Tamandua tetradactyla: one gene and its partners. The protein of the gene in region 3 interacts with the protein of the main gene of each other region in a biochemical or structural test. Links are inferred from orthologs where the notes say so. Each region holds a gene or a part of one and is shown on either strand. Other genes may lie near its edges. The genes, in order: AMER1, MCM3 and KEAP1.

Evidence for each region.
Region 1: the proteins of KEAP1 (region 3) and AMER1 form a complex in vitro, tested with the Homo sapiens proteins (2 studies listed by BioGRID). The link is inferred for Tamandua tetradactyla from reciprocal best matches to the Homo sapiens genes KEAP1 and AMER1.
Region 2: the proteins of KEAP1 (region 3) and MCM3 form a complex in vitro, tested with the Homo sapiens proteins (2 studies listed by BioGRID, with this or other methods). The link is inferred for Tamandua tetradactyla from reciprocal best matches to the Homo sapiens genes KEAP1 and MCM3.

The regions. Positions count from the first base shown.
Region 1 is NC_135353.1:109,861,729-109,871,209, forward strand, and holds the start of AMER1 (APC membrane recruitment protein 1), read left to right. Parts: upstream 1-4,896; 5' UTR 4,897-5,265; intron 5,266-9,481. UniProt on the Homo sapiens protein: Regulator of the canonical Wnt signaling pathway.
Region 2 is NC_135331.1:110,768,975-110,779,159, forward strand, and holds the start of MCM3 (DNA replication licensing factor MCM3), read right to left. Parts: upstream 4,010-10,185; 5' UTR 3,720-4,009; coding exon 3,642-3,719; intron 2,562-3,641; coding exon 2,449-2,561; intron 2,020-2,448; coding exon 1,811-2,019; intron 1,445-1,810; coding exon 1,314-1,444; intron 1-1,313. UniProt on the Homo sapiens protein: Acts as a component of the MCM2-7 complex (MCM complex) which is the replicative helicase essential for 'once per cell cycle' DNA replication initiation and elongation in eukaryotic cells.
Region 3 is NC_135337.1:91,322,819-91,333,182, reverse strand, and holds the start of KEAP1 (kelch-like ECH-associated protein 1), read right to left. Parts: upstream 4,464-10,364; 5' UTR 4,310-4,463; intron 4,012-4,309; exon of another isoform or gene 3,934-4,011; intron 3,425-3,933; exon of another isoform or gene 2,495-3,424; intron 2,353-2,494; 5' UTR 2,306-2,352; coding exon 1,667-2,305; intron 1-1,666. UniProt on the Homo sapiens protein: Substrate-specific adapter of a BCR (BTB-CUL3-RBX1) E3 ubiquitin ligase complex that regulates the response to oxidative stress by targeting NFE2L2/NRF2 for ubiquitination.

The DNA of each region.
Region 1 (9,481 bases), on a different chromosome or scaffold from region 3:
ATGAAAAAAGAAAACTGAAATGCCAGGCCTCCCTCTAACCACCACCACTAGTCAAACTTTTGGAACAAAGAGGCTGCATGCACTACCTCACAGAACATTCTCTTGACCTCCCATTGCAGTCTGGTGTACACTCCCACCCCTGCTCCAAAATGGCCTTGCCCACATCACCAGTGACTTGCTAGACCCACATTCAATGGTATTTATCTTGCTGGACCTCTGGACAGTATTTGACACATATACTCTTTTTTTAAAAAATATTTTTATTGAGAAATCTTTACACACATACAGTCCATACATGGTGTATAATGAATGACTCACAAAATTCACCACATAGTTGTGTATTCATCACCATGATAATTTTTAGGACATTTGCATCATTCTAGAAAAATAAATAAAAAGAAAAAATTCACACATTTCATTCCCCTTACCCCTCTCTCTCATTGACCACTAGTATTTCAAGCTGCCCAGTTTATTTTACACCTTATCCCCCCTATTATTTATTTAATTTTATCCATATTATTTTTGCTCATTTGTCCATACTCTGGATAAAAGAGCATCAGACACAAGGTTTTCACATTGTAAAAGCCAATCAAAGCTACTGGAACACAGTTCTACACTTTCAGGTACTTTTCTCTAGCCACTCCAATACATCTAAACTAAAACGTATATCTATATAATGCATAAGATTATCTCCAGGATAACCTTTCAACTCTGAAATCTCTCAGCCACTGAGAGACAAATGAGACAAATCTCATTTCTCTCTTCCCCCCTTTTGGTTAAGAAGGCTTTCTCAATCCCATGATGCTGGTCCTGGCTCATCCCAGGAGTTCTGTCCCATATTGCCCGGGAGATTTACACTCCTGGGAGAGCATTTGACACATACACACTTGATAATGCCATCTTTCACTCCCATGCCTTCCTTGACTTCTGTAAGAGCCAGCTCTCCTGGCTCTGGTCCACCTTGCCAATCCCTCCCTCACAGGGCTCTGTAGGCTCTTGTTTTTTACTTCTTTTTTTCACAACCTTCATCTAAGGTGCCATCACCAAGTCTTGTCACATCTATCTTCAGAATACATCCAAAATCCAATTACTTCTCACCCCTTCCATTGCCTCCATCCTGGACTGAGTCACTATCAACTATCACCTGGATCAATGTACAAATCCTCCTGTTCTCCCTGCTTTCTCCTTGTTCCTACACCCCACTCCCACCCCCAAAATATGCCTCTCCTCAGTTCAAACTCCTACAAAGTATAAAGTCTTAAAAATGGCCAATAAAGCCTTATACCATTTGTCTTCCCCCATGACCTCTCTAACCTCCTCTCCTACCACTCCCATCACTTACTATGCTCCAGCTTCACTGACTGCCTTACTGCTCTGTTACCATTCTAGCATGTTCCCACCTCAGAGCCTTTGTACTTGGTGTTTCATCTGCCTGGAATGCTCTTTCTCATGATTTGCTCCCTACGTTTCCTCAGATCTTTGCTTAAATGTCACCTTCTTTGTGAGGCATACCCCAACTGCCCTGTTTAAAACAGTAAGTTCCCACATACCCCATACTCCCTGTACCCCTTTCCTGCTCTATTTTTTCTATAACATTTATCACCATATGACATACTATGTATTTTACTTATGTATTTCGTTCAATGTGTGTTGGCCTTCGTGGAGCTTCCACCATCATAATGGGAAACACAATTTAAAAAATGATGGAAAATAATAAATAGCCATAAAAATAATTTGCTAGGAGGTGGTAAATACTATGAATAAGAAAAAAAAAATGCTGGTTAAGGACTGGAGAGTAAAGGATTGGAAGTGGGGGGATGGGGATTACTATTTTATATACCAAGTGAACAGGAAAAGTCTCACTAATAAAGTGACATTTGAGCAGAGACCTGAAGGACTGGGAGGGAGCAAACAATGCCAATATTCAGGGGGCAAACATTGTAGGCAGAGGGAATAGTGAGTTCAAAAGTGGGATTTCAGACATGTAGAACTCGTATGTCCTCAACAGAATCATTACTTTTCCTAATTTTGTTCCCATATATCTCTGCTTAGTGGATAGCAACATCATCCAGTCCCTTGCCCAAGTTTGAAACTACAAGGCACTGGTCTGATGGCTTGATTGCCTTCCCAACTAGACTGGTTGCTGTTGAGGGAAGAAGCTGTGCCTGGTTCACTATTATGGCTATGGAACCCAATTCAGGACCTGGCACAGAGGAGGTTCTCAGTGACTGGCAACATCACATTTCGTTAGTAGATATTAGACATGAAAATGAGTTGATATTAGACGTGAAAATGCTTCTTTTAGTCATTCTCCAAATACATGCCAGCACCAAATTTGTGCTAAACTCCTCATTGGGTGCTGAAGATACAGATTAAGAGACTCTCTGCCCCAGGAAACTCTGCCTGGCTCAACACAGTCAAGAGAAATCTGCATAAAAGAATCACCCCTGCTAGCCTCCCTGATCCCCTATTCTGACTAAACAAGTTGTTCATCTATTAGTGAACATGTGAGACTTGATTCTGGAGGGCTCCTGCAAGGAGGACATAACAAGGGCATTTTGAGGTACTAATGTGCACATTTGGTCTTTCCATGCATTTTCTCTGGGGAAGGTATGCTCCACTTCCCCCTGCTCTGCATTCCTTCTTCCCAACACACACATACATACACATTTCTGAGACTCAGGAACAGGAAGAAAGGTGCCCAGCTAGGAGGATTCTGTACCATTTCAAAGGTTATTTTCATTTCCCTGAAGCCCTATTTCTTTTAGGCCCAGCTTAAAAGCTTAACACTGACTAGTGTAGCAGAATGGTTGGTGGCTGGGCAGAAGGCATGGAGAATTATCTCCTGTGACAGGACCAGTGCAACAGTGCCCTCTTGCCTAGGGTTATTTGGAGCCAGCCACCTGACTATTCTACATATCTCCTCTCTCTCTGTTCCCACAACTAAAACTGCCCTGGCCCTTTGTTTCCCAGTGCTCCAAGTTTAGGAACTGCCTTCTCCAAACTGTAATCTTTGGCCTACTTCAGAGAGCCAACATTCTGGGAGAAATATGAGCAGGTGGCAGGTGGTCAGAGGTACAAGTTAGCAGGGAGGCCAATGAAGGAGGTACTGGGAAAGAAAAGCCACCTCTAGATCAGGCCCGACAAATGAGAATCAGGACTTTGCAAAGCAGGAAAGCACAGCTCCTGGGAAATGTCATAGTCTAGGCCTCCAGATGGGCAAACTGAGGTTAGAGAGAAGGGATTTGCCTAACAAAGTTACACAAGGAGCCAGCAGCAGACCCTCTCTCCTCTATTTGTTTAGACCAACAATTAGGATAGGAGGTCGGATGTCCAAATTGCTGACTTTTGTTGTGGGGAGATGTATGGAATGTCGTGGAAGGTCATGGAATATCATGGACTATTATAGAAAGAACTGAGTTGGCCTGTCAGAGATGCAAGAGATTGAGGAGCTTGATGGAGATGGGATAGATGGAATCGCCCAGAGAGGAAAAGAGACCAGCCAAGGCCATACAGGAAGTTTGAGGCAGAGCTGGGGCCAGGTCGGAGCCCCAGCAGGCATGTCAGTTCCTTTGCTCCACACATACAGGGTAGTCCTCCTCTTACCAGTTCAGTAGTTCGATCTTTTTCAAGACAAGCAACTCCCAGTAGAGCAGCAGAGAACACTCACGCGATGCAAAAAATTGGCCTTCATTGTTCTTTAATCTCTCCCTCTCTTCTCAACTTTAATCCCTCCCCTCTTTTTTTAAACTGTCATAGTTTTAAGACTGGGCCTTCTGAAAATTCTTCAACTAGTGGTAGAACTGGATTCCTTGCTGTCTCTCCTTATCTACTCCTGGCAGCCAGCCACTAATGTTACTTAATGCCCTCAGGCATAAGACCTAGCCCATGGCCACATTTCAGGCACAGAAATAGACAAGGCTAACACTGGCCTCCATACTCTGTCCTCAGCTTGACCTCCATCTGGGCCTAGGCCAGATTTTTCTCCCACTATCTAGGCTTTTCAGGGACAGGAACTTGCACAAAGTCAGGCTCACGGTTAGAGGTGTGGGGGACGTCTGGAGACCTTGGGGGATTCTCTAATGATTAGTGAAAGGTGGGAAATTTGGGTGCGGGTCAAACTCAGGGAACAGGTATCTTCCCAGAGAAGAAAAGAGAAAGCTGTCATGGACTTGGAGCCCAGTCTCTGTTTTCCAAATCTGTCGGTGTTGCTGACGGTCTGGGTGACTACGTGGAGGCGCTTTCCCTTCTCTGGGCAGCAGCAGCCAGTCGGTAATGGGTGGAGGCTGGCCTCGATGGTCCCTAAGGGCCCCCGTGTGCCTGAGAGGTGGGGGGAAGCTGGGTGAGGATACTGCAGTCGGTTTTCCTGGCAGCTGAGTCCCTCCTCTGTGAGGCCCGGGACCACAGGCCCTATGGCCTTGCCTCTACGCCTAAGGATGGGCCAGGCGAGGTGCCCAGAGGCTCTGCAGTCCCCCAGTCTCTCAGCCCCGCTTCGCCCCGTCCGCTGTTCTCTGTCAGATAAGCTGCCTGATGGTGGACAGGGAGCTGCAGCGCGAACGCACGGCGACCGCGGAAATGGGAGCGGGTGCAAAACCGAAACTGAGCTTCAAGAGTCTGGTGAGCCCTGTCTGGGCGGGACCCGCCCCGCGAGCCCACGGTGTCACAACGTTGGGATCCAAAGGCAAGGAGGCAGGAGCTGGAGCAGGAGCTGGGGAGCTCCAGCGCCAGGTTCCGCACCCTCTCAGCAACAGCCAGCACCACACCCGAGCTTATTTGCATTTAAAGAGAAACGCACCAAGAAAAACAATGGGCGTGCCAGGGCCCGCCTTCCCACCGTTGCGATTGGGCCATAGAGCCTGCCAATCAGAGCGCGGATTCCCCACCCCGTGGCTTTGGAGTCCCGGAGGAGGGGGTATGCGGGAGCACCCCAGAGTCTGGGGAAGGGGAGTCACTGCTTGGAGGTGACTGGAGCTGCGGCGACGTTGGTAGGAGCAGCGGCAGCAGCCTAGGCGACGGCGGCGGCACTCACAGCTGCGACAGCCGGGTCTAGAGCCCAGGTCAGGGCGGCGCAGCAGACAATACCCGCGCTGAGAGCTGGACTGGGTCGGCTAAGCGTTGCGCGCAGCTGAGAGCCTCCGCCTGCCTACTGCCTGGTGCAGTCCCGCGTGCTCCATTCTGGCAGCCTTGAGGAGGACACCAAGCTTTGGGCCGGTTGGCGCCCCGGGCGCTTGCTCTCTCCTTGGACCTTGTTTGGTGGACTGTCCGGTAAGCTGCAGAGCGCCAGCGAGTCCCCGGGGCCCTAGTGACTGTAGCCGCGGGAAGTGGGGGGTGGGGACAGGCGGGCGGGCTAGCTTGGGCCATGCCTCTGGGCTCTTGGGGAAGGCGGGGATGGGCCCGCCCGAGCTACCGCGAGGTCCCTAGAGGGGCGCCGCCACTTAGCACTCCCAGCCTTGCATTTGTAGGCCGGGAGCGCCGCACCTTTGTTGTAGCAGATTTGCTGGAACTGCTGACTTACCCGGGTCCCGCTAACCCGCGGCCCTGCTGCTGCCCCTCCCCACCCTTGTGCATCTCCACTCTTTCCCTCCTTTCTGCGGACGAAGCCAACGCTCTGACCAGTGCCCGATCAGGACTGACTTTGGCATGAATTGGGGGATCCACACTGTCTGCCCCCACCCTCTACTCCCCGGAGGAATTAAGTGGGCCTATGGTATGCCTAGTTCCCCTCGGAACCAAGGCCTTGCTGCTCCAACCGGCCGCGCCCCCTCCTCCCCTGCCTCCTGTCGCATCTGGCGCCTGCCCCCGCGGACAGGCGGGCTGCTGGTGGGGCTGTCGCTGGTCCTTGGCTTAGAGCTTCAGCTCAAGGTGGTCCTTGGGTTAGAGCTGCAAGGCTTTGTCTTACCCACTCGCCTTGCGTCCTCTCCCTTCGGAGGGCACTGGCAGGATTTTTCTCTTCAGCCTCCGGATTAAAAATAGCGATTGGTGTTGCGGGGGTGGGGGATTTCCGTGCCAGAGGCCGAGGGGGCAGTCGTTGTAGTAGGGGAATGCAGCGTTTGGGTGTGTGAGAGAGGCAGAAAAGCAACCAAATCCTCCAACTTTGCAGTTACTTAAAAAACCCAGCCTTCCGAACCACTGCTATTGTCTGCTGCAGACACCTTTGACACTGGTAAACCTCTAGCAGCCGGACTTTGCCTGGGCTCCCCGGGGGGCTAAAAGGGTTGTGCACGCCAGGCGATCAGGCGGCAGCCAGACTGGCCCCGCAGAGCCGCCCTCCACTTGGCCAGTCTCATCTTGGTGTGGGCTGCGGGTTCAAAAGGAGCCCCCCCACCACCAAACATCTTCCTTTGCTGTTCTGCTGGCCTGCTGCAGCCATATGAGCAGGGTGGAGTGCACAGTGCTGTTGGACTCCCTGCTACACCACCTCAGATTCCAGCAGAGCCCCAGTGCAGCTCCCCTCATTCTGCCCTACGCATTGCACAGCCACTGCACAGCGATGAGCCTCTGGCAATTGGTTCTCAAGGCCTCTCTGAGGAACACGAAGAGAGGAAACAAGCTAAGAGCTTGACAGTCTCTTCTTGGACCTTTGACCAACCTGTGAAGGTGGAGAACCCTGTCCACTGCCAGGCCCAGACAGAGCCTCAGCATTTCAGAGAAGGGGCAAGGAGACCCAGTGACTCCCTCACTTGGGGGAAGGCTAGCAGGGGACCATTTTGATACTGGCTAGGACTGCATACCACGCTGCAGTCACCAACTCCCACCTTGGCTACACCCCAACAGAAACCCCACTCACAGTGGGATATCGCCAGTCCAGGGCTGGACCTGTCCTCTGTCCTGCCTCAGGCCAGCAACTGCAAAACACATCTGCCGTATATTATTCCTCTCACAACTCCATACCCAGCAACTATCCAGATTCTCTTTCCTCTAAGGTCCTAGCTCAGGGCCCCACTTCTGCTTGGTGCTTTTTTTGCCCATCTCTTACAACCCATGATGACCTTTTCTTTCTCAGAATTCCTCCAGGGATGTCTACATCTCCTGGGCATTTGGTGGTTTGAATTTTACTAGGAGACAGACTATAACTAATTTTCCTTGCCTCTGCTTTGTTTCCTGATATCATGAATATCTGGATTTTCTCTGAATCCCTCAGAGGGGTAGATGAAACCTGGGACCTCAGCGGTAAATCCCTTAAAGGCCAGCAGTAGTTGGTAGTTAATGAATGCTCCAGAAGGACCTGCTGCCTTTGCAAACTTTCCAGAAGACCTTGACCTGTCCAATTTATGCTTGTCCCAGTTCTCATGAAAGTGACTAGATAAATGGCACTCAAGGCTCAGATTTTTATTGAGTGTAGCTAATGAGAATGGAGGAGGATGGGTTGCTACTACAAGGAAAAAAATCATGATCTATCCTTTCAACAAGAAGCTCAGGATGTAGGCCACTTAGAACCCAGACTACACCTTTATGAGCCCAGAGACAAACTGCGATGACGAGAGATGAGACCTGTGTATATAGGGGGGATCATTCTGGGAAGCTTAGAGAAAGTAGGGAGGTTTGGCTAAGCAAATGATTGAGTGACATAAACAAAATAATTCCACATCTGAATGGAAAGGGGTGGCTGACAGGCAGCCTGAAGTAAATGAGTCAAATCTGATTAAGATGGTATGGTTCTGGGGTAGAGGAGGTTGGAACCCAGGGGTCCATGTTCCCAATTGCCAGGCTGCAGAATGGGGATCTTATCCTGTGGTGAAATAGGGCATCAAAGAGTTGGGAATTGAAGGGTTTTGATATTTTTGTGTGTATAAATATGCCATGATAAAAACGGAGTTTTAGAAAGAAATTGGAAGCATGTAGCAAGTTGGACAGGTAAAAGGCCAAACCTTTGGATATTGAAACACAGATCAAGGCAAGCAGTCTCCAGAGGGAAGTTGCACCATATCAGCCTCCATTTGGGGGAAGAAGCAGGAAAAAGCCTGAAACCTAAATACCAACGTGGTGGCAACTGAGAAGTGTCCCCCAGGCCTCTACTGAATCCCTTTCCCTCAGCTGGACAGGTCTTCAATGAGCACTGATTTGGACTCCTGTGCTTACAGATATGAAACCTGAGCCCTGGAAATGAACAGGGACTTGCTTGAGGTCACACAGTTGAAGTCTCATAGCTACTTAGGGATAGGCTGCTGCTTCTTAGACAATAGCTCTTTCCAAGGTATCCCGCTATCTCCAGGGTATCCAGCAGCTCCATTCAACATAGATCTCATCAACACTCACCTCCCCCATCCCCCAAGAGTGAAGGGGACTGGGGTTTGAGGAACCCATCTGGTTGGAACCTCTCCCCTTTCGTGTCTCTTTTCCTTCTTGGTCTGCAGCCCTGTGGAAGGCTGAAAGTTTCAGAAGGAAGGGAGGTGGAAGAAATTGGCATTCTAATGATTCCCTTCTGATCTAGTGGAGGTTTAAAAATTCCTCAAGAACTGTTACATTCACACTCTGAGAAAGTGTGTGGTAGGAACAGCCTTACTCCTCTGGTCCAGAGGAATGGGGGGATGGGAAAAATGCAGAGATACTGGTAGGTAAAGGATTTGATTACAGATAAAAGGAGAAAAGAACTTCTGCCCCTTACTTACAGGTAGGCTACCTGAAGCTGGAAGAGGGTAATCCCATTGTCATTCCACAAACTAGGTGGTAAAGGGAAAGTTCCCAGAGGAGGTATTTCATAGCCTACTTCTTACTTATTCCTGGATCACTAATCTCACCCTGTACTACCAGGAAGTTCTTTCTCAGAGCTAAGCAGAGCCTCTTGTGATACAGATAAATGGTGCACGCGTGTGTATGTGTTGGAGGTGGGGGAGCGAGGTTGAGAGCAGCTGGCCACAATTGCTCTTCTGCTTAACAATCCATTGAACATTTCATAGTCATTAAACCCTCATTCCCACCCCCAAATTCTGTCTCTGAGTTAAATAATCACAGAGCCTTTCATCTCCTCTCCATGGTTTTATTTTTCAAACCTGTGCAAGTTTATGTATATCTCCAGCAAGGCAGGCAGGAAAACCAGACCACTGCAGAGTTGCAGGTGCCAGCTGAATGAGGGTGCAGTGCTCCCCCCACCTCCCCTTTTGGGATTAGGGGAAATAAGAACAATGGAGAAAATGGCCCCCAAAGCATTTGGTGGGGGTCTGAGACAAGACATCTAGTGCTGCAGGGACCTTTTTGACACTTTAAGCTGCATTCCTTGTCCCAGAGCCTTCATTACTTTCATCTCCTACAGGTTTTGTAATTTTTGTCCTGCTCAACCAGTGTTCCTCAACTCTCCTCTCCTCACCACCTTCCCCAGTCAGCTGTCTTCACCCCACTACCCCCCATCTACTCAGCCTTCCCTGCTGGGGGTTACAACTCTCCTCAGGAGAGAGAGAGCTGGGCCTGGACAGTTCTGGTGCCTTTTCTCTCTAGACATGGTAAATATTCACAGGCCATCCTGGTGCATTTGAAATAGTAAAAT
Region 2 (10,185 bases), on a different chromosome or scaffold from region 3:
ACAGTGATCAGCAAAAACAAGTACTCTCTAGCCCAAATATGGGTACCTGGATAAGTTTTAGAAGTTAAAGTGGAGACCATAATGAAGAAGAGCGCAAGATGTCTTAGCACATAGAACCAGCCTGAAGTAAAGTGACACAGGTCCTAGTTCTTAGGGCTCTCATTAACTAGAACCACAAGCAAATCACTTAACCTCACCAAATCTCTCAGCATTTCATTTGGAGGTAGTCTAAATGACTGTTAGAGTATATTTCAGTTAAAATTCCAAGATTATTCTTTTAGTTATTTGTATATTAGATTCCTCCATCTTTGTTTTCTCTTTACCTTTGTTTTTCAGCATGATCACGATATACCAAGGTATAATATTTTAGATTTATCTTATTTGGAGTTTGCTCAGCTTTGCCTTTTTTTGCTGCTGCAGCTGTTGTAAACAACAGTCTGGTCTTCATCCCATTGCATGAATTTATAGTAATTTACTTAATGAGTCTCCATTTGATGGGCATTTGGTGATTCCACCCCTCACCACTGCTCTTATGGATCAAGCTACAAGACATATAAGGTAAGCCAGAAGACAAGGACTGTGTTTTACTTACATCTGTGTCCTTCTTAGAGACTAGCAATATTTTGGATACACTAGCTCACAACTAAAAATTGATGGGGGGGAGCATTCTTTGATAGGATGAGTTCAGACATGAGGTAATCTATATTAAATATTTTCTTTTGTTTAATTAAGTAAGAAGGCCTTGCATTTTCCTCAATTCAGACTGATCTAAGAAAAGAACGCTTTCCTATGCCAGCTTTCTCTCAAACTAGCAAACTGCTCCTAAAACCAACATCAAGATTAATGGGATTTCTATAACCTAAAGTGGCTGTAGAATTCAACCTTAACAAAGTGGTATATTTGTTGTGTGACAGACTATTATATATGCAGTAAAATGACATGTGCAAAGATTTTATAGTAATATTATAAGTATTTTCCTATGTTCAGTTTAAAGCATATTACAAGAGATACATAAGATTTTAATTTTTTTTAAAAGATCTATGCAGAATGAATTATTTTTCTCCCTTCTTATAACTCTTCCACAATTTCCCCAATCTTTTAAAATAAATATTTATTCTTTTTTAAAATATAAGAATTATGAATTTTCCATATTAAACTCTGGCCAATAATTAACTTTTTCTTTGGATTAATCCTTACTATTTATTCACTTCATCTACTTCTACAAGATTTCAGATGTTACCCAATTACTCGTATGCTAGCAAGCACTTCTGATTTCAACCCCCAAAGAAGCCCTATTGATTCATTCCACTCACTTTAGTGGGATAGACAGAACTGGATGGAAAGGCCACCAGGGTAGTGAGGTCAGAATAACGCCGTTCTATAGTCTTCTTGGTAGCAGGACAGTAGTGGACACTGCGGACCACTTTGGGACGAACTAGAGAGCCTAGGAAGAGAAACATGCATTTAAAATCATCCAATTAGACAATGATAGAGATGTAATATGAACACAGGCAAGCCTACAATGACTACAAATACTGGGTTCTGACTAGTTTAAGTTTTTTCGATACTACCTATCATATACTCATTTTCGCATTTATATCTAGAACATCACCATATCTATGTAAAATGTTAAGTACAACTGATTCCACCCTAATCACTATGCGCACTCTGAACTCCTCCAAATTTCACCCATAATCTCAATCATTCACCTTTCTGAAGCCACAAGCTACCCAGTTTTACTTTGCCTTTTTTGGCTTTTCCAGCCCTGTGAAGTATAGCATTCCCTCAGTCCCCACTTTAACCCACTCACATTTAGTGACAATGCCCTCTACACAGACAACACAGCTGAGGAAGCAGGAGGTGAGAGTACGGGGAGAGACATGCTTAGAGCCAAAGCTTCCCTCCAATCCTATGTAGAATTCCTCATACTGCTTGGCATAGGTAGCATCAATGGAGGCCACAAAATCCTTTAAGGCCCGCTGGAAGGCAACCAGCTCCTCAAAGGCATTGCTCAGGAGGCTGCATATGGGCAAAAAAAAGAGTAATTAGGCAGAGAGGACAGAACTCCAAAAAGGTGACCCTGGAAAAGGAATTGGACATTCTTGGACCATCAAGACCAAGTCAAGACCAAGGAGTGGAAATCCAGTTCTTACTTTCTCTTGTCATCCTACAAGACTCAGTATAATAACATTAGAACTAAGGGTCATGTTTGTTTCAACTTGTCAAAGATGTAGAAATGATACCTAGTTAAACATTGGAAGGAGATGCACATGAGAGGAAAATAGTTACCACCTACATTTGAAAGAAGAAACAACAACAATATAGGAGCAGGTGAGGCTATGAGGGCTCCTAAGTCAATCACTTTTCATCTGGGTCCTCTCCTGGGAAGGGAGACATGTTCAGACATGGGGAAGAGGGTTATCTTCCTGCGATTCCCCTGCCACTTACCGATTAGCCCTCTTCTCATTTTTCCTACGCAGGTCATTCACATTAACAATCAGCCGGTAGTGGTTGTCACTGATCAGCTCCCGAACTTTGCCCTGATAAACTCCCTGGTCTTCCTGCAAAATAGTCACCACACATCAGCACAACCACAAATGTAAAAATAAGATATTTTAAAACAAAGGTAGTTGTCATAGCGAGATAAGCAAGTCAATTTCTGAGGCAGTGCTGAACCCCAGTATCCATTCATCAATTTCTCCCATTTTCATTCCTGGCCTCAGATTCCAAAAATGCCTATTTGCAACACTATAGGAATTATAACAATTTTCTCAAGGATAACGGTCCATGCTATTATTCCTAATATCAACAACAACTTATTAAATATTTCTGTATGCTTTAGTGGGGAATTAAAATGAGCTCAAACGAAGACTAAAAGAATAAATAAAAACCTTATTAAAATGTAAAGTAAATGAACTTTTAATATATATTAAAATGCCTTTTTATCTAAAAATTACGTATATAATCAAAGTATTTCATTTCCCAATCTTGTATGTAATAATATAGAATTCTCATATCTGGACCTAAAGGAAGGCCTGAAGAAGGTGACATTTGTTTACAGATAAAGCATCAACCTTTCAACATTCTATAGTTTTACATCTTGGGTGGCATACAAAACCCCCTAATCTTCATGTTACTGGGAACTGAAAAAGAATGCGGCCAAATTAGAAAGGTCTTTTCCTCCCAGTGGTAAGACGTTGACGAACACCATGGATTCTCACCTATATTCCCTCTCCCACCCTGTCCCCCAAAAAGAGCAGGACGTAATTTCGAAAAGGCCAGGGGGACGCTGACATTTTGTTTGCACTTGAAGGAAGCCTGTCGCCATTTGCGAGACCTGACTATTACTTGTATTGGGGAGAAAGTTACCAGACGGCTCTCTAAAGATTCAACTAGAGAGAGGCAATTAGCAACTGATTTCACAGCGAGGAGTTACACGTTCGGGCGGAAGGCTCCTCAGCCGGCCGTCGGCAAAGCGAGTCAGCCAGTCAGAGTAGGGAGAACTGACCGGCCTCTCGCTGCCGGGCTCTGTCGCTGCTTCGGAAAGAGCGGCATCCCGCGCGACCATTCAGCCCGCCCGCCGTCCCCGGGGGTCCGAACACCAGGGCCTCGAGCGCCCGCACCTCCCTCACCTTCCTCACCTCATCATCCAAGAAGTCCAGGTAATCTCTCTGCGCCTCCCGCAGCTCCACATCGTCAAGCACGACAGTCCCGGCCATGCTCGCTGCCTCGGAATCGCCTACCCTAGAGCCGCGTGTAGGACCCTTGGTAGACTCCGCGGCGGCACGAAAACTTCCGAGCTTTTCCCGCCACCAAAGAGTACCTCGAGGAAGGGGCGGAGACTCTGGGTGAAATACGCACTCTAATTAGCTGCTTCCTCGTAAACCGGAACACCGAATATCCAATCGGCAGCTTTTCTTCTCCCGGCTTTCCACGCAGCGCCTCGCGGTGGCGGGAAATACGCCATCCGGGACTCTCTATATTTCTCCCCTCCCCGCCCCGCTTCCCCGCCGGGAGAGCTGGCCAATGGGATGAAGAGAGAGCCCACGGAGCCTAGTAATTGGGCAGCCGGAGAGGCGGGGTGCGCTGCATTCTGGGAGTCGTAGTTTTATCTTTCCGGATGTTCAGGAGGTTCTTTGCAGGCTGCGGTACCTTGGCTTGCCGCAGAGTGATCCAATGTAACCATGGATTTGGTCTACTCTGTGGGTCTTTCGTTGAGAATAGCCAGAAAACGGGCGGTTAAAATGCAGGAGGGTGAAAAACATAAAAGCAAATCCTTTTAAAAATGTATACAAATTAAGTATGCTAGATATGTTTCAGATGCAACATCCCTCAAGTAGTATCTGGGGCGGGAGGCGGGAAGCAGTGTGTTTTTAAGAATCTGTGAAATGGAAAATAGAATCATAGCATCTCAGAGAAATGTTATTTAGTTTATACCTGTTTTTGATCAGATTACCGATACCTGAAGTACCCCATAATCATGCTAGGCCGTCAAGAAGGGTGGAGTTGAAGAAAAACTTTCTGTATATCCTCCAGCTCCCAAGCAAAAACCTCATGTCTTATTCAACAAAATTTTGGACATAATTACTCAGTCATCTTACTTGTGAAAGGATAAATTAGAGGATAAAATTAGTAAATCACAAAAGGCTTTTTCACTTTATGAAAGATCACAAGATTCTTTTAAGTAGCTTAATTTAACAGGTAAACAAATACAAGGAGAAACAAAAACCAAGTATTTCAAGCCACTGTTAAATATCAATGGGTGATTAAGAATACCAAATCTGAGGGTAAAATTATTATAACAATTGAATGTCAAAGTTTTTTTGTTTTGTTTTGTTTTTGTTGTTCTCTCTTGTGGTTTGGTTAATTTTATTTTTCAGATATAATTTATATACAGTAGAATACACAGATCTTAAGTTTACAGCTCAATAAATGTTTACACAATGTACGTATGTATGTAACTATGACCCAGTTCACTATAAACAACATTTCCATTTCCGTTGCGCCAAAAAGTTCACAGGAAAATAAAATAACAGATTGCCCAATATAAGACACCTGGCAATTCTACAGTTAAAATTTCAACCAACTGGTTTTTAACTTACCTTTGAAAATCTCCAGGATGGTGAGCAGGTAACCACATGAACCTGAATCAAAAAAAAAAAAAAAAAAAGCCATGCCTGGCTGCTTGCTTTTTGCATCCAACAGCTTAACAGGCAAGAAGAAAAAAAAAATTTCTACAATGAGGATCTTGTTTACCATTATCTAGTAAAAGGTCATTATTATTTAAAATGTCTTTATGACTTATTCATAATTGTCATTTTATGAATATATTGAAGGCAATACAATGTTCTTCGCTCTGGAAACACAGCTTCAAAATTAACACCAGAAGAACCAAGAACCAGTCTAGTTCAAAGAAGCAAAAATATCAACTCGTTAGTGGTGGAAAGCCCAAAGGAATTGGATTCTAGAGAATAAATCTTTGATACTAAACACATTTTTCTTGAGAAGGGGGCCAAGATGGCGGCTTACCAAGGTGTGGGATTTAGTTCGTCCTCCAGAGCAGCTAATAAATAGCCAGGAACAGTACAGAACAACTGCTGGGGCCACGTCAGTGACCGGACACACAGTGTACCCCAGTCTGGACCAGCTGGACCGGCTGTGAGCACTCCAGAACCGAGAGTTCCCCAGGCCACCCAGAACCGTAAGTTCCCCAAACCGCAGTGGCTGGCGCCCCTCCCCCACATGCTACTTCCCAGAGGGGAAAGGAAAGGGACTTTGTGAGCACCAGGGGCTGAGCACAACCAAATTCCAATTGTGGAATTAATTCACAAATTCTGACTACTAAAAATAGGCCCCCAGCTCAGTTGAACCTTGAGTAAAAGCAGAGGTTGCTGGTTTTTGCCCCCGCTCAGAGGGGGCAGGGCTGACAGAAAAAGAGAAAAAAAGAATAGCTGTTTTTGGATTTGAAAGGTCTGGGCCCTGAAGGAAAGGAGGGGGCATATGGGACCTGGAGATACACAGAGCAACGTGCCAACTTAAGCTCTTGATTGGCAAACCCTAGGAATGGGGATCTTGCTCTGAAAAGGAATTTTCTCTTCCATTTTGGTGGCTGTGTGTCTATGGTTTGACTGCTCTTTGGATACAGCTGCAAGGCTTCTTGGGCTCCACTGCCCCAAGCAGAGGCAGAATTAAGCTGGTTTGAGTGTTTGTCTGGAGCCTGTACCTTCCCCAAGAGAGGGGTGGGGCCCAGCTCAGATGGAATCCCTCCCTCAAGGAATTCAGACCCCAGGGTCTGGAAAACTGAAGCGATTAAAACCGGTCTACAACCTCTCCTCTGTCTCCACCACGCCCCCAGCAGGGAGAGTCTGCTGAAGTTAAAGATACCGCAACACCTTATTCTGGTGGGACCCATAGGCAGACAAGCGCCATGTACTGGGCAGGATAGGAAAATCAGAGAGCCCAGAGACTTCATAGGAAAACCTTTCAATCTGCTGGGTCTCACCCTCAGGAAAAACTGATGAAGATGACTCTTTCCTCCTGACAGGAGGTCAGTTTGGTCTGGGAAAATCTGGCTGGGCTCTATAATACCTAAGTAGACCATAGTAAGGGGAGAAAAAAAGGCACCATACAGGCAGGGCAAGAAACAAGAGAATAAGAACTGAAAAATTCTGACAACAAAACCTAAGCTAGAGGTCCAGAATAAGCTGAACTGAATGTCAAAGAACAGATAGACAACAAAGTCATCCAGCAAGAAAATCCTAGGTAAAAAAAAAGTGAAAACAATCTCCAGAATAAATTAATTAAGGTAATTAAATGCCTAGATGCCAGCAAAAAATAACGAATCATGCTAGGAAAATTGAAGATATGGCCCAGTCAAAGAAACAAACCAACAATTCAAATGAGATACAGGAGTTGAAACAATTCAGAATGTTCAAACAGACATGGAAAACCTCATCAAAAATCAAATCAGTGAATTGAGAGAGGATATAAAGAAGGCAAGGAATGAACAAAAGGAAGAAATCGAAAATCTGGAAAAAATAAATCACAGAATTTACGGGAATGAAAGATACAGTAAGAGATAAACAAAAGCAATGGAAATCTACAATGTCAGATTTCAAGAGGCAGAAGATAGGATTAGTGAACTGGAAGATGGGACATCTAAAAATCCAACAAGCAAAAGAAAATATAGGGGAAAGAATGGAAAAATATGAGCAGGGACTCAGAGAATTGAATGACAACATGAAGCATGTGAATATATGTGTTGTGGATGTCCCAGAAGGAAAAGAGAAGGGAAAAAGAAGAGAAAAACTAATGGAGGAAATTATCACTGAAAATTTCCCAACTCTTATGAAAGACTTAAAAGTACAGATCCAAGAAGTGCAGCATACCCAAAACAGAATAGATCCAAATAGACATACTCCAAGATACTTACTAATCAAGATGTCAGATGTCAAAAAGAAAGAATCTTGAAAGCAGCAAGAGAAAAGCAATTCATTACATGCAAGGGAAACCCAATAAGGCTATGTGTAGATTTGACAGCAGTAGCCATGGAGGCAAGAAGACAGTGGGATGATACATTTAAATTACAAAAAGAGAAAAACTGCCAACCAACAATTCTATATCCAGTAAAATTGTCCTTCAAAAATGAGGGAGAAATTGAAACATTTTCAGACAAAAAATCACTGAGAGAATTTGTGACCAAGAGACCAGCTCTGCAAGAAATACTAAAGGGGGCACTAGAGACAGATATGAAAACAGAAAAGAAAGAGGTGTGGAGAAGAGTGTAGAAAGGAAGACTATGAGTAAAGGTAAGAAGAAGGAAAATTAGATATAACATATAAAATCCAAAAAGCAAAATGGTAGAAGAAAGTACTGCCCTTACAGTAATAACACTAAATGTTAATGGATTAAACTCCCCAATCAAAAGACAAAGACTGGCAGAATGTATTAAAAAATAGGACCCATCTATATGATGTCTACAGGAAATGCATCTTAGACATAAGCATAGGATAAGCATAGGTTGAAAGTGAAAGGTCGGGAAAAGATATTTAATGCAAATAACAATCAGAAAAGAGCAGGAGTACCTATACTAATATCCAACAAATTAGACTTCAAATGTAAAACAGTTAAAGAGACAAAGAAGGACACTATGTATTAATAAAAGGAAAAATTCAACAAGAAGACATAACAATCATAAATATTTATGCACTGAACTAGAATCCTCCAAAATACATGAGGCAAACATTGAAAAGAGAAATAGACACATCTACCATAATAGTTGGAGACTTCAATTCCCCACTCTCATCAATGGACAGAGCATCTAGACAGAGGATCAATAAAGAAATGGAGAATTTGAATAATACAATAAATGAGCTAGACTTAAACACAATTTTCTCTGGGCTTCAGTTTCCCATTATATAAGGTGAGGAAGTTAAATTAGAAAATTGCTCATAGTCCATTCCACTCTAACATTCCATGTGCTTATGGCAAATTTGAAAATTGTGTAAAGGCAATTCCATTTAGTGAATGTATCTGTATCTCAGTTTCCTTACCCTTAAAGTTACAATAGAAATAATATCTACCTCATGGAGTGGTTTTAAGTATTCAATGAAGTAAAAATGAATGTAAAATATTGAGAAAAGTGCCTGGAATATAGTAAACACTAAGTACTGTTAATTGATGGTTGTAGTGGTAGTGGTGGTTGGAGAGGGGCTGAGGATGGGCGCAGAGTTGGGAGGGGAATAGTTTGTAGAAAAGTGGGAAGAAGTACCTTGTACATTCTGGAATAATTCAGACAACCCTCTCTGTGGTAGTATGGATTGTGTACCCCCAGAAAATGTCATGTTCTTTTCATTCATTCCTATGGGATCTATTGTGGATGAAATATTTTGGTTAGGTTATTTCAAGTGAGACATGACCCAGACCACTCAAGTTGGGTGTTAATGCTTTTACTGGAGTCCTTTATGAGAGGATAAAAGACAGAAAAAGCCCAGGAGCATATAGAGGGAAAAAAAGAAACAAAAACTGGAGAATCTGAAAGAGAAAGCCGCTGACACCAGGAGCTTAGAGCAACGAAACCAAAGAAAGAAGGAGCTATAGACGCCAGCCAGATGCTTCCCATGCAACAGCGCATTCCAGATGCCAGCAGTCTTTCTTCAGAGAAGGCATCATCCTATTGATGCCTTAATTTGGACATATTCACAGCCTTAAAACTATAAATTCATAACCTAATGTTTCCATTGTAAAAGCTAACTCATTTCTGGTATACTGCATTCCAACAGCTTTAGCAAACCAAAATACCCCCACCTCCACCGAAAGCTTGCAATAGAATCAATCTATATATATCTTGACAGAGATTTACTTTGCTGGAAATTCAATTGGCTAAAGGAATGATACCCTCATAGACAGGGATTCTGTTTTAGGATTCTGCCTATGTTGAAAGCCACCAGAAACCTTTGTTCCATATTTAAGGAACATTATGGAATGCCAAATGGCCTCTGGAACCAGCCAGCAAAATCCTGCCTTGTAAAGACAGGAGAGTCCATAGCCTTCCTTTCATCTCACCCCAGCTCCATCATTTGCTTCCTGGGGTATTGCAGGTTAGAAATGCTACTGAGATCAGGAAAATCCAGGAGTCAAATGAAACATCAGTGATTCTGATTTGCCCATTACATTTGGTAACACAGTTATCCTGCCAACAATTTTGATTCATTGTTATTTGCCAAGGTTGATATCAGCAATCATATTTCTTAGTCATTGAGAAATCATTCACATTCTTAAAGGCACAAACCTTTGCTGAGGTTCTGTTTGAACAGCTTTGCTTGAGTCCTTAGAGCTATCGATTTGCAGGGGAAAGTTACAAAAAACTTAACTGAGTGGATACAAATATGATCTATGAAATTCTCTAATTGCTACACACTATAAATCTATCTATATTTGTTCTAAATGTGCATTTATAAATATATAGCCCTTTAATACTTTAAATTGTGCCAATGTAACAAAATGATGATGAGATTTGGCCATATAAAACAACCAATCAAATACAATTTGTTGAGTATCTGAATACCTAATTCTTCCATACACTAGAGACATCAGATCAGCACTGCCCAACAGAAATATAATCCAAGACACATAGGTGATCTTAAATTTTCCAGTAGCTATATTTTAAAAAGTAAACAGAAATAG
Region 3 (10,364 bases):
CTTAAGAACACCCAGGGCTTGAACTGAGACTCTGTAAAGGTTTCATGCACTTGCATTGCTTTCCTGGAACATATAGTTAATTTCATTCCCCTATGCTGTAGTGTGGACACTCCTTCTCAACATGAAAAAGTCAGAACAGGCATTTCCCAAAGATCCCTATGGATCAGGAGAAGGATTAAAGGAAAAAGAGGAGGTATACGAGAGAAAATGAGATTTAACCTACGAGTATGGCTGCTGAATCTCTATATTAATATTCCTTCTAGCCTCCTGTGTTTCAGAGCAGCTAGAAGGAAAAATCTGAGATGGTGGAATAGTACCCATGACAAACTCTGGGATTTGTTCTGCAACTACATGTTGTAGCGTGCTTTGAAAATTATTACTTTTTTCTCTCTTTGCATCGTATATGTTATTTTTTTTACAATAAAAAAGTTTTTTGTTTTTAAAGTACAGGTTGGTTAAGAGGGAAAAAGCAACAGCAGTAGAATAGTCTGGGGGCAAAGGTGGGGGAAGTGCAGGCTCTGAAAAAACCAGCCTGAGTTGCAATGTTGGATCCACCACTTTCTAGTTGAGTGATCTTGAACAAATTTTAAACTCTCTGTGCTTTGGTTTTCCCCACTCTGTAAAATGTGGACTGTATTAATAGCTGTTTTAGAGCAGGGCTACTCCTAGGGGTCGCAGGTCCATGGGCAAATATGGCTTATCAGGAGCCTGTGACTACAGACAACGTCAGTCACCCCAAATCAGCAGGTCAGCACGTTCTTGTACCCCATTCCATGTGAAACACCACTCACACCAAATGGGAGCGACCTTCTTACCAGGTCACCCTCCTGGCACCAGGCCCCAGGACGAGCCTGGAGACGTCAGTGCTAGACCTCTTTGAGGCATCTGGTCAACCACTTGCAGCATAGAGGGAAGCAAAGCACCCAGAAGTGGAGAAACGGGAATGGGGCACCCTCAACCCCAGCTAGTCCCAGCCACCAGAAAACTTAGAAAATGTCAAGGAGGGCACCCCAAAGCCCGGGGTTCCCTGAGGCTTAGAGCCTGGACCACAGCCTGCTTAACCAGGTGCAAAGGTAGATGGCTGACGAGATTCAATGACTGAATTGAAAACAGGGGCTGGCACACAGGTAAGTGCTCAAAAAACGCTTAAATCAGCTCAAAGGCACAAGTGCTGTCGTTGCCTTGCAGGAATTAGGTCTCATCATCGAGGTTTTTCAAGAATCTTCCTGCCATTTTCTGTCGACGGCTTCCTCTACTTAAGAACAAAAATGAAATCATAAGCCATCAGAAGAAGGACCCGGCATGGGCCCCCCAAAAAACACACCTAAAAGTCAGTCTTGCAGTTTGCAGCTGCTCACGGGTGTTCATTAAATCTCTGCTGCCTGCCTGCAAGAAAGGGTCCTGCTGGGCACACCCTGGGGTGGGCTGGGGAGGGGGGAGAGTGTGGCTGCCGTCCTGCCTTTCCTACCCGGTCCCCAGCTTGACCCCAGAGACCCATGAAAACCTCACTTTCCCCAGCCCTTTCCCTACTGTGTGGCCCCGAAGCTCAGAAGCCCATCTCCCCGCAGCCACCTGCCTGACTCTGCACACACGACGGGGACACAGACCCGTGAGGAACTGCCCGCCATCCCGGAGCGCCCGCACGGCCCGGCTTCTCCGTGCTCACCTCCCCGAAGTGCATGTAGATGTACTCGCGGGCGCGCTGGTGCAGCTCGGCACAGCCCATCTGCTCGGCAAAGTTGGCGATGCCGATGGCGTTGCTGGGGTCCAGCTGCTGCACCAGGAAGTCGCTGCAGGCGCGGACGACGCTGTCAATCTGGTACATGACAGCGCCGTTCATGACGTGCAGCACGCACTTCTCGCCCACGGAGATGGACGCCGTGTAGGCGAACTCGATGAGGCGCTCCATGACGCTGGGGTGGATGCCCTCGATGGACACCACCTCCATGCCCTGCTCCCGCAGCCCGTTGGTGAACATGGCCTTGAAGACGGGGCTGGACGAGGCCAGCACCACCTTGTGGGCCATGAACTGGGCGGCCGGCGTGTCCTTGTACTTGACCTGCAGCGTGACGTCGCACAGCTGCTGGCTGAGCCGCAGCTCATTCATGATGCCGAAGGCCTGCTTGGTGTGGTCCTCCAGGGTGTAGCTGAAGGTGCGGTTGCCGTGCTGGGAGGGCGTCACTTCGGCCTTGCACTCGGTGAAGGCGTACATCACCCCGCTCCCGGCCCCCTCGGGGCGCTGTGACCACGTGGGCAGGAATCGGCTGTGGGCCCCCGCCCGGCTAGGCCCGGGTTCTGGCTGCATGGAGCTCCGGGCAACGAGGGACACCGCTGCCACTGGCACTCAGGGGCCTGGAGAGGGAGAGCACTGTGTTGGGGACGGGCCTGGGGCTTCCTTCCGTAAGCTAAAGCGATCCCGGCATGGGTTCCTTTCCCAGCAAACCAGGTGATGCAGCATCCATTTGCACTTGCTAACCGCTCTCTATAATCTCACCAGCAGGAGGGCCGTCTTAAAACACAGGTCGGGTCATCGACAGCCCCTGCTCAGAATCATTCGACAGCTCCCCGTGGCGTGCAGAATAAAACCAAACTCCTCAGTGGCCTGCAAGGCCCTGCCCATAAAGCCCCTGCTCACCTCTTCCCTTTGCCCCCTCTGTCCCAGCCATCTGTGGCCTTTCCCTGCCTCGAGCACACCAAGCTCTCTCCTTCCTTCACCTGTCACACATTTATTGAGCACCTACTGGATGTCAGGCAGTGTTTTAGGCACCGAGGACACATCAGTGAACAAGAGAGACCAACAAAACAAAAACAAAACCCTGCACTCTCATGGAGCTAACATTCGGAGAGGAAGAACCATAAAACCCAAAGCTATGAAGAACATTAAAACGGCCTCATGACACAGTGATGAGGGGTGATTACTTTAAACCTGGGGTTCCAGGAAAGGCTTCTCTGAAAAGGTAAAGTAGGAATAACTGTGAAGGCAGGAAGGGGAGTGGGCTGCAGGCAGAGGGAACAGTGACTGCAAAAGCTCAGAGGCAGAATGAAACAGACCAGCAGAAGCAAGGGAGGAGGAGGTGGGGCTGCATGCAGTGTAGACAATGAGGGATGGGAGTGTTAGATATAGCCTGGAGGGAGGACTGCTGGCCAGGAAAAGGGGTGCAATCCCTAAGAGTTTCTCAGCTCAGAGTCACCTCTCCTGAGGTTTCATTTTGATCACTGCACTTGTCAGAAACTGAAAGCACCTCCTTTGCTAGTTGGCTTCAGGATTAAGTGTCCCTCTGGCCACCAGTCCCCCAGGGATCTCTGTAGCAGGAGCTCTTGGTTAAGTCACAGGCTGTGTCCCCCACCCCATCCCATGTGCCTCCCCCTGGGGTCTGGCACTGCCCAGGGGTCAGGAAACGCGGGTGGCCGGCTGGCAGGCTGCCCACTCCCCTCGCCCCGGCCCGAGGCTCTCCTCCACCCGGGCACCACCGGCTGAGGCCGAGGCCCAGGACCTGCCTCTTCGCCTCCTGCTCAACTCCCCGCAACCCCGCTCCCGTGGCCCCCAAGAAGCGACAAGTGGGCACTGCGCATGCCCCGCCTGAGCCGCCGCCAAGGCCTGGAGAAGGCAGGAAGTGACCCCGCCGCCAGCCCCAGGGAGCGGACCGAGCCCCCCGCCCCGGCGCCAGCAGCAGCAGAAGCAGCGGCGGCAGCGGCAGCAGCAGCGCCCCGAGGTCCCCGGGCCTCGGTGCGAGCGACGTGGCCTGGGCCCCCCCGCCTACGTCCCTCCTGGGCCGCCCCGTCCAACTAGGGGATGGCACCCGGGCCGCGCCCTCCCGGCCCTTCCCCGGGCCGCGGGGATCCCCGGAGGCGCCCGGCCCGCGGCGGCCGGCTCCCCGACCTCCGGGCTCGGCCGCCGGGCTCGCGGGCCCCGGCACAGGCCGCCTCACTCACCCCGCCATGGTCGCGCTCGGGCTCCGCCTCCGCCGCCGGGGCCCCGGCGCCTCCATCGCGGCGCGCGCGCAGGTCACCATGACTAAGCAGAGCCGGGCGCCCGCGTGTCAGAATAAAAGTCCCCGCGGCCCGGGCCTCGGGCAGCCCCGGGAGGGGGGCGGACAGGGCGCGCTACCCGCCTTCCGCACCCTCGGTCTTCCCCCCTCCACCCCCCGCCGCGGCCGCGGTCGCCCGGGCGCAGCCCCAGCGCCCGCCCCTTCTGCGCGCCCAGGGGCCTCCGGCGCTCGGGAACCGGAGCCCCGGGGTTCGAAGCCCGGGCGCTCTCCTGCCCGCACCGGGGACCCCCGTGGGCAGCCCTCCCCGCAGCCGCGCTCACCTCGGGCCCCGCGTCGGCGCCGGAGTTCGCAGGTGCCACGCGCTCGCGGCGCTTCCGGGACCCGATGGGGGCTCCGGCCCGGTCAACCGCCGTCAGGGACCCGCGGGCACCTCCGCCGTCGGGGGGCCTGGGCTCCCGGGCGGCCTCGGGACGCCTGGGAAGGAGGCGGGGAGAGGGTGGGGAGGGCGCGCCTGGGCCGGAGCCGCGATTCCCCGCCCTTCCCGCAGGTGCAGGGCGCCGGGCCGGCGGGGACCTGTCCTCTTTGCGCTGTCCCTTCCATCGTCCCGGTTTGGTGGCAAGGGCCTCTGGGCGCGAGGCTTCCCTCCACCACCTGCTCTTCCTGTAGGCCCGCTGGGGGCCTTGGCCACAGGATCCGCTCAGAATTAGCTACACGGTTGGGTTTTCATTGGCTTTCTTCTTTAGTTACCTCTTCTTACAGGGAGAGCGGACCGAACTACTTACACTGACTGGAAAAGAAATAGACGATCTCAACCCACCAATAACGAGTAAAGAGACCAACTCAGTCATCCACACCCTCCCCAAAAAGAAAAGCCCAGACCAGGTGGCTTCACAAGTGAATTTTACCAAACAGTCCAAGAAGTAAGCCAGCCCTGCTCAAACTCTTCCAAAAAAATTAAATAGGGGGCCAACCAAAAGCATTATTGCCAATTCTAAGGAATACCTAGGGCATTATGTAAGATTCCACAAAGGTTCCATGCACTAGAGTAACTTTCCAGAAACCTTCAACCTCCAGATGGGTCTCTGGACCAGATAAGTCCTGAAACCTAGAGGCCCAGCCTCTCCAGAATGTCAGCTAGTTCCATCTCCCTACCCCATATTACTGACAGCCCCTTCCAACATGAAAAAGTTAGAATGGGCATAGCCCAAATACCCCTAACGAGTGAGAAAGATCAAAGGTGATGGTGGCGTTTATACAAAAACAGTCGGTTTTACAAATGAGTATGACTGCTGAATCATTATATTGATTTTTTTTTCAGTCTCCAATATGTTAGAGCAGCTAGAAGTAAAAACCTAAAATGGTGGAATTGTAAACCATACACCAAACTCTGGAATCAGTTTGACAACTAATTGTTGCAAAGTGCTTTGACATTTATTGCTTTTTTTTGTATATATGTTATTTTTCACATACAAAAAAAAGTTTTAAAAAATTTGAATGGGGGAACACTTCCTAATCCATTCTATGAGGCCAACATCACCCTCATACCAAAGCCAGGTTTTAAAAAAAAGGAGAGAGAGAAAAAGTTACAGAGCAATATCCCTTGTGAATATTGATACAGAAAGGCTCAACAAAATACTAGCAAACCAGACTCCACAGCACATTAAAAGAATTATACACCAAGACCACGTGGGCTTTATCCCAAGTATGCAAGGAGGGGTTGAATTAAGAAAAATCAATTGAAGAATGCACTGCATCAATTGAGTGAAGGGAGGGAAAACAAATGATCATTTCAACTGATATAGAAAAAGCATTTGACAAAATCCAGCACCTCTTGGTAAGAACACTTAAAATACTAGGAATCAAAGGAAACTTTCTCAACACAGTAAAGGACATATATGAAAAGCTCACAGCTAAAATTATACTCATTGGTGAAAGACTGAAGGCTTTCCCTCTGAGATCTGAAATAAGACAAGGCTACACCTGTCACCACTGTTATCCAACATTGGGCTGGAAGTTCTAGCAGGGGAATTAGGCAAGGAAAAGAAATAAAAGGCACCCAAATTGGAAGGGAAGAAGAAAAACTTTACTTATTTGCAGATGACATGGTCCTCTACATAGAAAATCCTGAAAAGTCCACAATAAAGCTACTCAAATTAATAAACAGATTCAACTGGTGAATACAAGATGAACATGCAAAATTCAGCACTGTTTCTATATACTGGTAATGAACAATCAGAACAGGAAATCAACCCAAAAAATCCACATACAATAGCAACTTAAAGAAATATCTAGTGAAGGACTTAAATATGGAAAACTACAAAACATTGCTAAAAAGAAATCAAAGAAGACCTAAGTAAATGGAAGGACACTCTGTGTTCATGGGTTGAAAGACTAAATATCTTACGTCAATTCTCCCCAAAGTGATTTACAGATTCAATGCAATCCCAATTCAAATTCCAACAGCCTTCTTTGAACACATAGAAAAGCCAATCATAAAATTTATTTGGAAAAGTTAAGGATTCCCAAACAGGCAAAACCATCGTGCAAAGAAAAACAAAGTTGAAGGGATCATACTTTCTAATTTTAAAACATATTACGCACAGAATCTAGACTATAGGTTACCAGGAAATAGAATGAGGCTAAAGAATAGGGAGCAGTTGCTTAAAATGTGCAGAATATTTAACTAGGGTGGACTTAAATGTTTGGAAATGGGTAGAGTTGATGGTAGCATGTTATCGCAAATATAATTATCGGTGCAGAGTAGTGTGGGAATGCGGTGAAAAGGGGAAGTTTAGGGTCATGTCGTTCACCAGAAAGAAAGCTGAAGGTTAAAATATGGGAATACATAATACAATGAGTCTGTGGTAGACGATGATTGTGATTATCAATACAAATATTGAAAAGTTCTTTCATGAACTAGGTCAAATGAGTGACACTGTTATAAGGAGTTAATAATAGAGTGGCACAGGGGGAAAGAAAGTAGCTACTGCAAACTGTGGACTAGAATTAACAGAATATCTTAATATTCTTTCATCAGCAGCAATAAATGTATTGACTCCAATACTAGGGGCCAATAATAGGGAGGGATAAGGGATATGGGATGTTTTGGGTTTTCTTTTTTATTTTCTTTTTCTTTTTTTTTGAGTAATGAAAATGCTCTAAAATTGTGGTGATGAATGCATAACTATGTGATGATATTGCCAGTAAATAGTTGTATACTTTGAATGGATCGTATGGTGTGTCAATATAGCAATAAAACTGCACTAAAAAATATTAGAAACCTACAGTAATCAAAACAGTATGGTACTAGCACAGAGAGACATGTGTATCAGTGGGAGAGAAGTGAGAGTTCAGAAAAAAAAACACCCTCTCATCTTTGGCCAATTTATTTTTGACACGAATGCCAAATCCACTCAATGGGGAAAGAGGAGACTCTTCAACAAACGGTGCTGGAATGTGTAAAGGGATGAAGTTAATATGCAAAAATTAACTCAAAATGGATCAAAGACCTAAACATAAGAACCCAAACTACAAGACTCCTAGAAGAAAGCCTCGGGGGAAATGGGCAAAAGACTTGAATAGACATTTCACCAAAGAAGACATACAGATGCTCAATAAACATTTGAAAAGATGCTGAACATCATTAGTCACTAGGGAAATGCAAATTAAAACCATAATGAGGGTGAGCCACGGTGGCTCAGCAGGCAGAGTTCTCGCTGCCATGCCAGAGACCCGGGTTCAATTCCCGGTGCCTGCCCATGAAAAACCAAACAAAAAACATAATGAAGCACCATTTCACACCCAATAGAATGGAAACTATTGAAAAAAAAATAACAGAAACTAAAAAGTGCTGGTGAGGACACAGAGAAATAGGAACCTTTTTGCATTGTTGGTAGGAATGTAAAGTGGTGCAGCCACTGTGGAAAATAGTTTGGCGGTTCCTTAGAAAATTATGTACAGAATTACTGCATGACCTGGCAATACCACTTCTAAGTGTAAACCCAAAATAAATGAAAGAAGGGACTCAAACATAATTGCATATTGATGTTCATAGCTGCATTATCTGCAAAGTCCGAAAGATGGAAGCAACCCAAGTGTCCATCAGCCGATGAATGGATAAACTAAATGTGGCATATACACACAATGGAATATTATTCAGCCGTAAACAGGAATGCAGTTCTGATACTTGGGACAACATGTGTGAACCCTGAAGACATCATGTGGAGTGAAACAAGCCAGAAGACAAAAGGACAAAGATTGTATGATCTCACTGATATGAAATAGCTAGAATAAGCAAATGTGTAGAGTCAGAGACTGGAAAAAGAGTACCAGGAACCAGGTTGGAGGTGGGGAATAGAAAGTTAGAGTTTCATTGGTACAAAGTCTCTGCTTGGGGCAGTGGAGAAGTTCTGGTAAGGGGTGGTGGTGATGGCAGCACTTTGTCAAAGTAACTGACACCACTGAGTTAAATATTTGCATGTGGTTGAAAGGGGACAATTGGGGTTGCATATTATGTTAGCAGAATAAACAATTTTAACAAAGAACCATGGGACTGAACACCACAACCAGTGACCCCTATGGTAAACTAGAGACTCTAGTTAATAGTATAATTATAATGGTATTCTCTCACCATACTAAGGAGAAGTGTTGATAACAGGAAAAGCTGTTAAAAAAAAAAAAAGGATAAGATCAAAAACAAAAACAAGAAAAAAAAATAGGGAAAGCTGTATGTGTGAGGTGGGGGTTATATAGGAACGCTGTGCTTTCTGCATGATTTTTCTGTAAATCTACAACTTCTCGAAGTAAATAAACAAATTTTTAAAAAATGCATGGACCTCGTCTGTCTCGGGTTGGAATCCCAGCTCTGCAACTGGCTAACACGTGTGAAACGACCCCATGCTTAATAACCTCCCTGCTAGATTATCCTGGCACCCAATAGATATAAACGATTGTTGTGTTTTCCAGCACGAGGGATACTGATTTGCCATTTATGCCAGTTAGGCTGTGAAGTTAATTTTTAAATAAATATTTCTAAGTTTCTTTTTAAGGCAGTCCATCTGAGTGGAAACATTTCATAGAAGTGAGGGAAGTTTGGGAAAGGCTGGGCTGAAGAGAGAGGCAGGTCTAAATAAGGATTCCGCGAGCCTCCGGGGGGTGAATTTGGAGGATAACCCTCAGCTCAGGTTTGACATTAAGCAGGCGCCTGGGGCTAGGGGGTGGGGTTGCGCCCCTCCCGGTGCGTGGAACTGCGGTTCCCGACCTCTCCAACAGGGGGCGCACAGCCCGGGAACACCCCGAGGCTGTGCGGCAACTGCAGGCAGCCTTCCAAATCAGATCCACATATTATGAAAACCTTGTGGCTGGCTCCCTTTATCCAGGGTATGGAAAGATGAGTAAAAAATAAATAAATAAGGACAATAAATAAATAAAAATAGGGGGATAAGGGGTAAAAAACAATTGGGGTAGATTGCAATATAGTGGTCAATGACAGGGAGGGGTAAGAGGTATGGGATGTATGGGTTTTTTCTTTTTGTTTCTTTTTCTGGAGTGATTCGAATATTCTAAAAATGATCATGGTAATGAATACACAACTACATGACGATGTTGTGAGCCACTGATTGTATACTTTGCATGGACTGTAGGTGTGTGAAGATATTTGAAAAAATATATATATATATAATCAGACCCACACGTCCTGTGAGGCCCCGGTGGGACTTGGAGGGGTTTATCCAAGACACACTCGCCGGGTGAACTGATTGCAAAGGATGGGTCGCATCCCTCCATGTCCCTCGGTATGGACGCTGGTTTAATAAGTGGTAGCACATCCACGCCATGAAATAGTATGCAGCCGGTTAAAAAGTGCACCGCATGTACTGTTTGAAAGCTAACCTCAATTAAATGAAAAGGCAGAACAAAAGGGGAGAGGGGATTGCAATACTTTCCAAGACATGCTATTGAACGAACAAAGCAAAATGCAGGGTGATGCTCAAGTCGTGTAAAAAAAAGAGGAGATGGTGTTTATATTTTGGCTCATTTATTTCACAAAATAGCCCTGTTTGGTTCCCAGGGATCTGGAGAGTGACCCTGGAGGAGAAGTGTAACTGGGTTTGGGAATTTTGAAAAATGTGACTAAGTCCATAAATCCTCTGGCACCATCAAACGAGCCACCAGTGGGGCCGGGGGGAGCAAGGAGGCTTCGGGGTTCCCTTGGGAGATTAGAGGAGCCGCAGGGAGGCCACCCCGGGCCGAGCGCCCTGGGACCGTGCGACCCCAGCGTGTTTGTGTTCTAGGAAATGGGTTGAATTCCCATGTGTGTGACCTGCAGGGCGGCAAGTGCATGGCCGGAGGAGGCTCGGACACACAGCTGGGGTCAGT